Lytechinus pictus: one gene and its partner. The protein of the gene in region 1 purifies or fractionates together with the protein of each later gene. This does not show direct contact. Links are inferred from orthologs where the notes say so. Each region holds a gene or a part of one and is shown in the gene's direction. Other genes may lie near its edges.

Region 1 (7,519 bases):
TATATTCTTTCAAAAATTAATACGTTAAGCTCCATATTAACCTATATTGAGCAAGATATGAATCTCATCGAACGTCAGACAAGGAGAACGTGAATGAAAATTTTATATCGTGACATGAATTTTTTTTTAAAGTCTTCCCCTCACCTTTTTTATTCACTTGTCTCCCTCCTCTTCATTTCCCCCTCTTTTTTCTTCTATCTTTCCCTTCTTTTTTTCGTTCTTTCTCTCCTTTTTTTGCTCAGCCAATTTTTTTCAGGGGGGGGGGGGCACGTGCCCACCTGCCCCCCCCCCCCCGCCCGCGCCGTATGTATAGCTACGCCACTGCATATGAGTTACATCAAGATCAATACCTCTTCTAAGTACAGAATACATTTCGTTTCTTCTAAATTTTTAAATTGGCAATTTTATAAAGTATCCCCGTGCCGAAATTACTTCTAACTTCAGCATATTACCTTTTGACCCTCATCCGCGGGAAAAATGAAATAGTATTGGAGCCTATTGTCATCAGATTTATTATATTTACTTCCAAGTCAGCAACATTATGTTCATTACAGACATTAAAACACAATTCTATGACGTTATTCTACATCATGTAAGTATTTTCTACTGTGTTTTCATTGTGTGAACTTGATATGAATTCTATTCGTTTGTATTTAATTTCATCGCCGTCTTTCCAAGTACGGTCCCACCCGCTCAAATCGATGTTTGTTACTAAGTCTAAGAGTAAGAGTTATTTTTTTTTGCAGTGTTATTTTTTCAGTCACAGTCACTCACATACTAGACCAAAAGCTTCAGTCTCTGTATTTTGGTTGTTCCGCTGAACTACGTTGGCTCCACTCACCATACATAGACTGAAGGGGATGGGGCCCCGTACCTACAGCCAACGTATAGTGAACTAGCGTTTTATAGATCGCGATTTAAAACTGTTTTTGGCTTAACTGCAGAATACCCCGACACTGCTCACTACCCAATCGTTGGTCAGCCAACACAACGATGTCAAGACCTATAGCTATATACTAATTCAATGGTATATAGCCTAGATATATCCATACTATTATATACGTACATGCATTACTGGTACTACTACTACTACTATACTACGTACGTACGTACGTATGACGGTACGTACGAGCAATGCATCCAGGCCATACGTAATGACCTTTGCCCTTTGACTACTACTAGAGCTATAATTAAACATCGTTGGGTGCGCTGCTAGCCAACGACCCACGTTGTGACGGTACGGACGGTGCAATATAATATTCAAAACATCGCTAGCCAACGACCAACGATGTGACGGTGCCATGTAACATTTAAAACATCGTTGGCTAACCAACGACCCACGATGTGAAGGTGCAATAGTACAAGATTAATACACTCTTTTAAATTACCTACTACTACTAGCTATTGCTATACATCGTTGGGTGCGCCGCTAGCCAACGACCAACGATGTGACCGTGCAATGCAACATTCAAAACATCGTTGGCAAGCGTTTCAAAGTATGGTTTCACAAAACAGTTTAATATATGCATATCCTGGTTAGTGAGGTGATCGATGTCATTCACTCTCTATTTCTTTTGTATTTTTTATACATGAAATATTTTCATTTTTTCTTCATTAAAATATGAAATAAAGTTTTAATTCCCATTGAAGGAATTCAATGGGAATTGAATTCAATTAGGGTTAGGGTTAGGGTTAGGGTTAGGGTTAGGGTTAGGGTTTAGGGTTAGGGTTAGGGTTAGGGTTAGGGTTAGGGTTTAGGGTTAGGGTTAGGGTTTAGGGTTAGGGTTAGGGTTAGGGTTAGGGTTAGGGTTTAGGGTTAGGGTTAGGGTTAGGGTTAGGGTTAGGGTTAGGGTTTAGGGTTAGGGTTAGGGTTTAGGGTTAGGGTTAGGGTTAGGGTTAGGGTTAGGGTTAGGGTTATATTCACATCGTTGGCATCGCCGGCAATGTTGGCCTCTACAACAGGCATATTCACATCGTTGGCATCGCCGGCAATGTTGGCCTATGTAAGATACATTCACATCGTTGGCACTGTTGGCATCTACTACAGGCACCAACACATCGTTGGCATCGCGGGCGCTGTTGGTATATACATACTAAACATACATTCACATCGTTGGCATCGCCGGCAAAGTTGGCCTATACTTACTAAAGATACATTCACATCGTTGGCATCGCCGGCAATGTTGGCCTCTACTACAGGCATATTCACATCGTTGGCATCGCCGGCAATGTTGGCCTCTACTACAGGCATATTCACATCGTTGGCATCGCCGGCAATGTTGGCCTATGTAAGATACATTCACATCGTTGGCACTGTTGGCATCTACTACAGGCACCAACACATCGTTGGCATCGCGGGCGCTGTTGGTATATACATACTAAACATACGTTCACATCGTTGGCATCGCCGGCAAAGTTGGCCTATACTTACTAAAGATACATTCACATCGTTGGCATCAATGGCAAGGTTGGCCTGTACTACAGACACCAACACATCGTTGGCATCCTGGCCGGCGCTGTTGGCCTATACGTACTAAAGATACATTTACATTGTTGGCATCGTTGGCACTGTTGGCATCTACTACAGGCACCAACACATCGTTGGCATCGCGGGCGCTGTTGGCCTATACATACAAAAGATACATTCACATCGTTGGCATCGCGGGCAAGGTTGGCCTATACTACAGACACCAACACATCGTTGGCATCCTGGCCGGCGCTGTTGGCCTATACGTACTAAAGATACATTTACATTGTTGGCATCGTTGGCACTGTTGGCATCTACTACAGGCACCAACACATCGTTGGCATCGCGGGCGCTGTTGGCCTATACCTACTAAAGATACATTCACATCGTTGGCATCGAGGGCAATGTTAGCCTGTACTCTACAGTACAGACACCAACACATCGTTGGCATCGCGGGCAATGTTGGTCTACATAGGAAACTACAGATATGATCGCATCGTTGGCATCACGGGCACTGTTGGCATGTACTACAGACACCAACACATCGTTGCCATGGTGGGCAATGTTGGTTTACATAGGCAACTACAGATATGATCGCATCGTTGGCATCGAGGGCAATGTTGGCCTGTACTACAGACACCAACACATCGTTGGCATCGCGGGCAATGTTGGTCTACACATACTACGGAAATATACACATCGTTGGCATCGCGGACACTGTTGGTCTACATACTACAGAACACAGATATAGATCGTTGGCATCGAGGGCAGTGTTGGCCTGTACCGACTACAGACACCAACACACCGCTACCATCGCGGACTGTGTTGGCCTACACGTACTACGAAAATATACACATCGTTGGCATCGCGGGCAATGTCGGCCTACATACTACAGATGCACACAGATATATATATAGATCGTTGGCATCGCGGGCAGTGTTGGCCTGTACTACGGACACCAACGCACCGCTAGCATCGCGGACTGTGTTGGCCTACACGTACTACGAAAATATACACATCGTTGGCATCGTGGACACTGTTGGTCTACATACTAATCGCGCGCGCTCGCATCGTTAGCGTTACAGTGCAGTCTGAACACTTAGAATCTATTCAAAAAATACTTGTAAGTTGTAAATCATTCAATTATTTATTATAGCTGATTTTCTGATTTGATAGCTTAAGTACATCGTTGTGCGTTGGCTCTCCAACGATAAGGTAACGCAGTGTCCGGGTATTCTGCAGTTGTTCCCTGTTTTTTAAGCAAAATTGAAAGTTTCATGGTTTCCATTATCAGGGAAATATAAATAATAATTAGTAATTGCATACCTTGGGCCGGAGTTATTGAAAAAAATCCTCTGGATGATTGAGAAATCTGTCATCTAAGACATTTTCACCTGACCTGACGGTTTTTCTTGCAAGTTGCCATCTTGAATGACGTCATTATCGTTATTAACTTAATGTCTCGAATCGATATATCGCGATTATAACTAGTACTAGTACTAGTATAACTAGTATCGTTTATCTTCGGTTTCGTTCGCATATGGAGCAGATCGTATAATATCGAAAGCAATATCGATATCACATTCGTGATTGTTGACGTTCGTTTGTAAATATTTTATAGTTTGGCTGCCATTTTGACCATTTTTATCGTGTTCAACCCAATTAAACATCGGTAAAGTATATTTTTCATGCCTTTTTCATCTATATCGTTTAAAGTGTTTAAAAATTAAATTAATTAATACGTTAAGCTCCATATTAACCTATATTGAGCAAGATATGAATCTCATCGAACGTCAGACAAGGAGAACGTGAATGAAAATTTTATATCGTGACATGAATTTTTTTTTAAAGTCTTCCCCTCACCTTTTTTATTCACTTGTCTCCCTCCTCTTCATTTCCCCCTCTTTTTTCTTCTATCTTTCCCTTCTTTTTTTCGTTCTTTCTCTCCTTTTTTTGCTCAGCCAATTTTTTTCAGGGGGGGGGGGGGCACGTGCCCACCTGCCCCCCCCCCCCCCCCCCCGCCCGCGCCGTATGTATAGCTACGCCACTGCATATGAGTTACATCAAGATCAATACCTCTTCTAAGTACAGAATACATTTCGTTTCTTCTAAATTTTTAAATTGGCAATTTTATAAAGTATCCCCGTGCCGAAATTACTTCTAACTTCAGCATATTACCTTTTGACCCTCATCCGCGGGAAAAATGAAATAGTATTGGAGCCTATTGTCATCAGATTTATTATATTTACTTCCAAGTCAGCAACATTATGTTCATTACAGACATTAAAACACAATTCTATGACGTTATTCTACATCATGTAAGTATTTTCTACTGTGTTTTCATTGTGTGAACTTGATATGAATTCTATTCGTTTGTATTTAATTTCATCGCCGTCTTTCCAAGTACGGTCCCACCCGCTCAAATCGATGTTTGTTACTAAGTCTAAGAGTAAGAGTTATTTTTTTTTGCAGTGTTATTTTTTCAGTCACAGTCACTCACATACTAGACCAAAAGCTTCAGTCTCTGTATTTTGGTTGTTCCGCTGAACTACGTTGGCTCCACTCACCATACATAGACTGAAGGGGATGGGGCCCCGTACCTACAGCCAACGTATAGTGAACTAGCGTTTTATAGATCGCGATTTAAAACTGTTTTTGGCTTAACTGCAGAATACCCCGACACTGCTCACTACCCAATCGTTGGTCAGCCAACACAACGATGTCAAGACCTATAGCTATATACTAATTCAATGGTATATAGCCTAGATATATCCATACTATTATATACGTACATGCATTACTGGTACTACTACTACTACTATACTACGTACGTACGTACGTATGACGGTACGTACGAGCAATGCATCCAGGCCATACGTAATGACCTTTGCCCTTTGACTACTACTAGAGCTATAATTAAACATCGTTGGGTGCGCTGCTAGCCAACGACCCACGTTGTGACGGTACGGACGGTGCAATATAATATTCAAAACATCGCTAGCCAACGACCAACGATGTGACGGTGCCATGTAACATTTAAAACATCGTTGGCTAACCAACGACCCACGATGTGAAGGTGCAATAGTACAAGATTAATACACTCTTTTAAATTACCTACTACTACTAGCTATTGCTATACATCGTTGGGTGCGCCGCTAGCCAACGACCAACGATGTGACCGTGCAATGCAACATTCAAAACATCGTTGGCAAGCGTTTCAAAGTATGGTTTCACAAAACAGTTTAATATATGCATATCCTGGTTAGTGAGGTGATCGATGTCATTCACTCTCTATTTCTTTTGTATTTTTTATACATGAAATATTTTCATTTTTTCTTCATTAAAATATGAAATAAAGTTTTAATTCCCATTGAAGGAATTCAATGGGAATTGAATTCAATTAGGGTTAGGGTTAGGGTTAGGGTTAGGGTTAGGGTTAGGGTTAGGGTTTAGGGTTAGGGTTAGGGTTAGGGTTAGGGTTTAGGGTTAGGGTTAGGGGTTAGGGTTTAGGGTTAGGGTTAGGGTTAGGGTTAGGGTTAGGGTTTAGGGTTAGGGTTAGGGTTAGGGTTAGGGTTAGGGTTAGGGTTTAGGGTTAGGGTTAGGGTTTAGGGTTAGGGTTAGGGTTAGGGTTAGGGTTAGGGTTAGGGTTATATTCACATCGTTGGCATCGCCGGCAATGTTGGCCTCTACAACAGGCATATTCACATCGTTGGCATCGCCGGCAATGTTGGCCTATGTAAGATACATTCACATCGTTGGCACTGTTGGCATCTACTACAGGCACCAACACATCGTTGGCATCGCGGGCGCTGTTGGTATATACATACTAAACATACATTCACATCGTTGGCATCGCCGGCAAAGTTGGCCTATACTTACTAAAGATACATTCACATCGTTGGCATCGCCGGCAATGTTGGCCTCTACTACAGGCATATTCACATCGTTGGCATCGCCGGCAATGTTGGCCTCTACTACAGGCATATTCACATCGTTGGCATCGCCGGCAATGTTGGCCTATGTAAGATACATTCACATCGTTGGCACTGTTGGCATCTACTACAGGCACCAACACATCGTTGGCATCGCGGGCGCTGTTGGTATATACATACTAAACATACGTTCACATCGTTGGCATCGCCGGCAAAGTTGGCCTATACTTACTAAAGATACATTCACATCGTTGGCATCGATGGCAAGGTTGGCCTGTACTACAGACACCAACACATCGTTGGCATCCTGGCCGGCGCTGTTGGCCTATACGTACTAAAGATACATTTACATTGTTGGCATCGTTGGCACTGTTGGCATCTACTACAGGCACCAACACATCGTTGGCATCGCGGGCGCTGTTGGCCTATACATACAAAAGATACATTCACATCGTTGGCATCGCGGGCAAGGTTGGCCTATACTACAGACACCAACACATCGTTGGCATCCTGGCCGGCGCTGTTGGCCTATACGTACTAAAGATACATTTACATTGTTGGCATCGTTGGCACTGTTGGCATCTACTACAGGCACCAACACATCGTTGGCATCGCGGGCGCTGTTGGCCTATACCTACTAAAGATACATTCACATCGTTGGCATCGAGGGCAATGTTAGCCTGTACTCTACAGTACAGACACCAACACATCGTTGGCATCGCGGGCAATGTTGGTCTACATAGGAAACTACAGATATGATCGCATCGTTGGCATCACGGGCACTGTTGGCATGTACTACAGACACCAACACATCGTTGCCATGGTGGGCAATGTTGGTTTACATAGGCAACTACAGATATGATCGCATCGTTGGCATCGAGGGCAATGTTGGCCTGTACTACAGACACCAACACATCGTTGGCATCGCGGGCAATGTTGGTCTACACATACTACGGAAATATACACATCGTTGGCATCGCGGACACTGTTGGTCTACATACTACAGAACACAGATATAGATCGTTGGCATCGAGGGCAGTGTTGGCCTGTACCGACTACAGACACCAACACACCGCTACCATCGCGGACTGTGTTGGCCTACACGTACTACGAAAATATA
Region 2 (7,484 bases), on another chromosome or scaffold:
TAATTTACCTCACCAGGGTCGAGTGCAGCACAGTGTGGATAAATTTCTTGCTGAAGGAAAAGACGCCATGGCTAGGATTCAAACCCACGACCCTCTGTTTGAAAGGCAAGAGTCAGAACCACTAGACCACGATGAGCCCACATCAGATGTACCAGATGCAGTTAGAAGATGTACACATTATATTGGTTATAATTGCAAGAAAGTAATCTAAGTCAAGGACACAAAATTAAGTCATTCCTGAACACAGCAAGCGGTTCTTTGATAAGATTTTCCTAATGGGGCGTTGCAAGAAACTTGCGATCAATTGCAGATCTATTTTCGTTCGTGAAATCAAGTATATGCCGTGCAATTAATTGCAAATTTGCGATAGATTGCTAATCTGCTCCATGAAACAAGTACTTTAATCTGATTTTCTAAAGTTAAAAGTGATCAATCAACTGTAAAATTGCAACAGAATATTTGGGATTGATTGCAAATATTTTCTTGCAACACCCCCTTAGGGGTGCAAATGAGTTATTAAAAAAGGATATACTGATACCCTGGCACAAGCCAAACCCTTCCAAGGTGCCAAGGAATATCTTCTCAAGGCCAGGTTACCAAATTCAACATTTTTACAACTTACTGTTGGTTTTATTCTTGGTCTAGCAGCAGGCTTACGAGGTGGTATCTTTGGCCCTGAACTTTTTGTCTTCCCGATGTCGTCAGCTGAAACAGCTCCGGAGTTAAAGTATCTGCGAGAAATGTCACTGTGTACCCTATACCGGTACCGAGCAGCAGCAGTACTTGCTAAAGTATGGTAACCTCTAGAGGGTGCTGTTCCCTGTGGATCATTTTCTCTGGAAGAATGAGCTGCTGTCAAGTCTTCAGCAGCAAACTGAGAAGCTGACTCAGCAAAGGTATCACCCCATTCTTCAGGATCACTTGTCACAATGGAGTCACCCCAATCATCATTTTTCTCAGCCTATAAATTGGAAAATAATAGAATTTTGAAAGACATATGTTAGAATAAATAATGGGGAGTGGCAGTCAAGAAATTAAAAGGGCATTGAGAATAATTGTAAGTTTTCAAATTTGTTTTAAAATATTATCTACTAAGAATACTGTCATAAATGTGTCTAATGCGAACTTATTGTTGGATTAGATGGTCAGACCGTCAGTCACATAAGATAAGAAAAAAGACAGCTAAGATTTTGGGGGGAAAATTGTGTAGTTCCAACATGTGTTTCTATGCACTGTATGTGACTCAAGGCCGAGAAGATAATTTTTTTAATCTTTTTTTTTTGGCGATTCCAATATCTTACAGCATAAGCCATTAATTCTAAAATTTACTCTAACGCATATCAGGCAATTTCTTCAGCAGTTCAATATCCTGATAAGACAAGATTTCATATAATATTCAAACAATTTCTATGAAAAAATTGACTGCACAGGACAATATGAGATACATTGCTAATACCAACCATCTTCCATATAGACCTTTGTTTTGAATAGCATGTTCAAAATTTCATGAAAAAACAGGTATCATCAAAAGTAAAAACAGTCACTTAATTGTCTCTTCAAGAAGAAATAGATAAATAATTTCAAAAAGATATCTTTTAAAAAATCCCTACCTTGTTTAAATTCATCCATGCATCACTGACCCTCTCTTCTGTCTTGGTCTGGATACCTTGGACAGCTGACCTTAAACTAGAGTTAGCCCAGATCTGGCCTACTTCTTTGCATTGACCATCCACAAAGCTCTTGACCAAAAGTCCAAATCCATTAGCAGCCTTGGCGGCATCACCAAATCTTGATCCAGACATGGTGATTATCAACTCAATACAATCTCCTCAGTTATTTCCTGAAGTATGATCGATGACAATGAATAAAAGTTGGCAAATAGTAACAACATGATCAAGAGATTCAATAACTGTTTATGTCATGTGGAACTATGTAACCACAAATTGGGGTTGAGAGACAGGCATAAAGATTTAAGCGCAGAAGATATTCAGGTACCATACAATTCAAAACCACCTATAGATTCCTCCGCACATTTGAACAGGCCTAAATATTCAAGTATTTCTTTTCGTTCTTGATCCTTAGTCCAAACATGGACCTATTATGGTCCAAACAAATAGACCCTTTGTGCGTAAATGCGTCTGCATATACATGCCTTTTTCATACATGCTTTGTGCAATAGTGCATTCAAACTGTTATAATTAGTACTGCATAATTTAGACTTGAAATAACATATAATTCTGCTCAAATTACACATATTTCACAGCTGGTAGGATGTCTGGATGCTCATGTTGAAATAAACATGAATTTGAACACTTTCTCAAATTTGTTAATTTTGTGTTTGATTCTCTAGCACTTTGTAACAGGGTTGGCAAATTTAAATCACGACTTAAATATTCATTAGGTTGGCTGCTGATGTCACAACCCCAAATTACATGAAACCATAATATTTCATGTTTTATGTACATGAGTGTGTTATATGCCTCGCTTAAAATAAAATAAGTGTCATCAATATACCTAATGTATGGCAGTGTATCCTATTGCCGGACACCTTTATTTCAGTGCTTTAAAAATGACAACTAGAGGAAATACAATCAAGAAAAATTCACACTTGCTATTCCAAATATTATGAAAATTATAAATATGATAAAATTATTTTATATTTACCAACCATTTTCTTTGCATCGCAGTTGCCGCATACCCCTCCACGAAAAACAATTATTTTCGTGCGCGACAAATTACATCATGATTCCGGACGCGCGCCGGACGGGTAAAGATATCCTTGATTATAATGATGTAAGAGCAAATTTGTGTGATTTTTTTCTTCTTATATCATATCATGAGTAAATTCTAAGTATTATTTGCTTTTTTATATCGAATCTGAGCAGATGTTGGTAATAAATTCGTGTTCGATAACTTATTTTATTTTGTCTTGTTAGCTGCATGTTCCATGGCACTTTCCAATAATAATATGCTCGCGTTCGTATCGTGACGCTTATCAAGTTCTATCGATGCGCTGCCGATCGACGGCTCTACTCACGGTATACCTCGCGCACGGGTACCTTGAGAACTAGCCATCGATGATCACCCACAATTCACCACACCTCATCATTCGATCGAAGGAGTGGACGAGATTGAAATTCTGCAAAATCAGGCCCATATTTCCGTTAGAAAATATATCAATTGTTAATACAAAACTATGTTATATGATATTTTAAGCATTTTCTGTCATTTTGAGAGATAATTAGGTAAAAGTTGGATTTTTTGCCTTGTTTTTATTGCAATCTTGTTCTATGTATTGCTCTGTGAAATCGAATTACGGAAGTCTTACGGTACGAATTTGTTTTAGAACGCAGTAATATGCGCGTCCGGAATCATAATAGTGTCCGGTAATACAATACGTGACTATACTAAATTTGTCAATCCAACTTTTTTAGTTCTTGGAATACATCTATAGAATAAACATAATTTCATGTTAATACAAAAGACAGTGGCGTAATGAGCCAAAACAATTTTAGAGGGTTCAATATGGTTTATCGTGTAAAATTACGAAAAAGTTGTGAGCGAGCAAAAATTTTTGCTTTTAGTTTACCTTTTTACTTTTAGGCAATTTGCTTCCTCTTTTATCTCGGCAACCCCTGGTCCAATTTCATGATCTTTATTCTTGGTGTCATTTTACTCGTGTTTCAAAGCTTATTCCAGTTAAACTATTTAAAACTAGAATTACGACACTTCAATTTTTGGGGCACATCCCTATAAATATCCCTCTAACTAAAAGTTAAGTCTAACTTTATATCTACACCATGTGACCATGCACCAGGCAGAGGCAGAGAGGATTCAGACACAGCTGAAAATGTCACTTTCTTTTTTTACATTCGATTTTGATGAAATTTTCAGTGTTATCCTTGTTTGATTTTTCTCTATTGATTCAAATCAACTTTTCCCTGGGGTGGACTTGCCCTTAATTGTATTGCATAACGTTTAACGGACTCACCTGCGAGTTCCACTTCCAAAATTTCCACCGGCGTGTCGTAATTTGCTGGGCCAGCGGAGAAGGCAGCTAAACATATCAGATTACGTTGCTCAGTCTTGATCTCTCCAGCACACAAAACCACAACCCCCACGAACATGCGATGCGGAGTGGTGATGTAATGAACAATTTTGTGAAAATTATGAAAACAAAATGGAAAAATCCATTTCATTAGAAGGTAATTATATTAAATGGATTCTAACAAAGAATAGATGGGTCTATCTCAAATTAAAAGCAAGGAATATACTGAGGATTATTCTTCAAAAACTAGGACTAAGTTGTCAAAGATTAGAATGAGTTGTATCTCCTCTTTGTCGAGACTATGTGAATGTCTATTTTTCTATTGAAAAAGTATTTATTTTTCTTTGGACGGAACAATTATTCCCTTCTTGATAATGTATCAATCCTAGCAGAAGTTAAAGACAAACTATGTTTTATGCTCCTTCACTTTAACTACGAGAAACGCAAATTATTACAAAGAAACGAGTTGTGTCTTCAAATCCCGGAAGTCGTAGTTTCGCGCCAGCTTTAGTTCACGTGGTTTATTATTCCCGCGAAGTTCATAACAAAGATTTGGATTCTGATCTAAAAGAATACGTGCTCTCTGACTGATTGTGCTCCAAAATGGCAGGATTTGATGATCCAGGAATCTTTTTCTCTGACAATTTTGGATCAGAAGATCAACCTGATGATGGCAGGATTAATCGAGCCGCCTTGCAACGTCGTTTCAAGGACTTTCTTCGAAAGTTTCATGATGCAAACTTTTCCTACAAATACCGGTAAGAAAGAGACTGCACTGCACTGCTAGCGCGGCTGGCGGTGCGGTGTGTCTGTGCATATTTTTGGGACATTTAAATTTTAAAGGTAAAAGGTAAACATTTTAAAGGTTTTAAAGGTAAAAGCTAGATCCACTCAAGGATTCATTACCATCCTGCCTGTGGGGAATCTAGTACAGGTAGGACTATGGAGTATGGTGTATGCCAATGCTGTACACAGCACACAATTTAAAGCCTTTAAAGGGAATGGTCCGGGCTGAAGTAAAATATTAATATGTGAAATAAATAGAGTAAAATTCAGGTAAGAGTTCCATAATATATGCACCCCAGGCCCCACTAAAATTGAAAACAAAAAATAGGAGAAGGTTCAGAATAATATATCTAGCCCTAATATAGGCCTAGGCCTAGAACATATATGATGGGGGAGTGGAAATAAATACCAAAATATGGCTTTATACCGTCAAATTTCGAGCAGGATCTATCTATAATCTAGTTTTATTTAGTCGGTAACTAAGTAAGTAAAGCCAGGGACCGGCAGGGTCTGTGTCCTGTGAGTCAAGACGAGTCGAACTACCGGCTGATAATCGTTAAAAATACCCCTTCCGGTATCAGCGCTTCTCGCTAGCATAGCGGGAAAGGTCTTGACTGCAGATAAAACGAGGTGAGTTCGAGTCCCAACTAACATGACTAAGGTATTTAAAGCAACAGTAAAGAAATGATAGGAACAAACCGGAAGTCTCAACAATCTTTTTTTATTTTTGGTGGGGGGTGCATATGGAACCATGGAACTCTTTCCAAAATTCACAGAGCAAATTGCTGAAAATTTCATCAAAAATGGATAACAAATACTGAAGTTATTGAATTTAAAGTTTAATCAATAAGACAATATTTTGTGAAAACAGTAATAGACTATATACGCACATCGTCATGAATATTCATTAAGTGGGCTGATGATGTCACTTCCCCACTTTCCTTTTTCTTTTGTTTTACATGTATTACATGAAATCATAATTGTTTCATTTTTTCATACATGTGTAAATGATGCGTCTCCATTATGATGAAATAAGTTGCGGCAATAAATAACTAATGCACTAAATCAGTTGTCAATCGAATTATTTTAGTTCTTGGTAGAAACATTTTGAATAAACCTAATATATAATAAAATAGAATTGAGGACTTCGTGATGATATTTTTTGATATTTTGACATAGATCTAGACCTATATATATGTCAAAATATTATTTAATATTTTGACATAGAATCTATATGTCAAAATATTTAAAAATATCATCATGAAGTCCTCAGGCTAATAATAAATACAAAAGAACAAGTGGGGATATGACATCATCAGCCCACCTAATGAATATTCATGAAGACTTGCCTAGAACTGTTTCACAGGAATAATGCAAATCTTTCAAAATTCAATTACTTCGATATTTGTTATCCGATTTTAATCAAATTTTCAGCATTTTGCTCTGTGAATTTTAATCTATTTATTGAGATATAAATATCTCCAGGCTGGACCATCCCTTTAAAAAATCATTAAAATATCACTTTTGTGACCAAATATACTAATTTCCATACAGTTGCAATTTATTTTTCATTAGTAACTTGGGAGTAATTTTTTGTATTCACCAGAGCGCTCGAAAACTTGAATTTCGGGCATATTTTTATGTTCAATTCAATTCAATTCAATTCAATGTCTTTATTTCCATATCAGTAAAAAAAATAAAATTCATATTTACAACACATAACATTATAAATGCATTTCTAGTCATTAAATATTTACATACATAAAGAGAGCATTAAAAAAAATGCATTTCATAATCCATGTACAATAATATAATAGATGAGGAAAAAGGGGGGAACTAAAAAGCGAAGCTTGTGGGTTAAATGTTCCCCCCAGGAACAAAAATTCAGTAGATTGTGTACACAAAGAAGATGATAAAAAAAGCGTTTAAACAGAGTAACAAAGCAAAAACAAAACAAACACATCCACACCACACAGTCAATCACACAGGCATGGGGGGGGGGGAGGAGGTATTTGTGCCTAGTCAATTGTGCCTGGAACAAGTCACTCTAAAATTTGTAAATGAAAAGAAAAAAAAAAAAAAAAAAAAAAAAAAAAAAAAGTTTCAAGTGAACCAGCCACAAAGAGTGAGACGCATCAAATACCGGTAAAGCACAATGTACATACATATTATCCAATTATTAGAGAGAGAAAAAAAAATATATATATTTAGTGACTATAAGTGGATAGCAAGCTTGATTTACATTTTTGTTTAAAAGAGTTTAAATAGCTGCATGATGTAACATTCACATTCAGAGTATTCCATATCCGAGGACCTTGATGACGGATTAATCTCAGTGAGCGATCATTTTCTACTTTTGAATAGTGTAATTTTGAACTTTGTCGGGTATTGTAAGAATGAATATGCTTATTTTGTTGAAAAAATGAAGAGATATTGCTAGGTAATATTGTTTTTTTTAGTTTGAACATTAGAATAGCAGTTTGGTAAGTATGAATATCAAAAATATTCAACGTTTTAAGTCTAAAGAATATTGGTTGAGAATGGGCAAGGAAATGAGAAGATGTACAAATTCGTAAAGCCTTTTTCTGAAGTTTGTGCAAGGGTTCAAGTTTTGTTGAACCTGTCCCTCCCCATGCAATATTACAGTATT

The links. Proteins that work in one complex are often made in the same cells at the same time.
Region 2: the proteins of cell division control protein 45 homolog (region 1) and DNA replication licensing factor mcm5-like purify together in Drosophila melanogaster (affinity purification with western blotting; 4 studies listed by BioGRID, with this or other methods). This does not show direct contact. The link is inferred for Lytechinus pictus from reciprocal best matches to the Drosophila melanogaster genes Cdc45 and Mcm5.

What each region holds. Positions count from the first base shown.
Region 1 is NC_087246.1:10,233,097-10,240,615, reverse strand, and holds the start of cell division control protein 45 homolog, read left to right. Parts: upstream 1-4,502; 5' UTR 4,503-4,734; coding exon 4,735-4,785; intron 4,786-7,519.
Region 2 is NC_087251.1:6,433,664-6,441,147, forward strand, and holds the start of DNA replication licensing factor mcm5-like, read left to right. Parts: upstream 1-4,484; 5' UTR 4,485-4,651; coding exon 4,652-4,806; intron 4,807-7,484. Other genes in the region: atypical kinase COQ8B, mitochondrial-like, read right to left, coding at 623-961, 1,611-1,802. UniProt on the Drosophila melanogaster protein: Acts as a component of the Mcm2-7 complex (Mcm complex) which is the putative replicative helicase essential for 'once per cell cycle' DNA replication initiation and elongation in eukaryotic cells.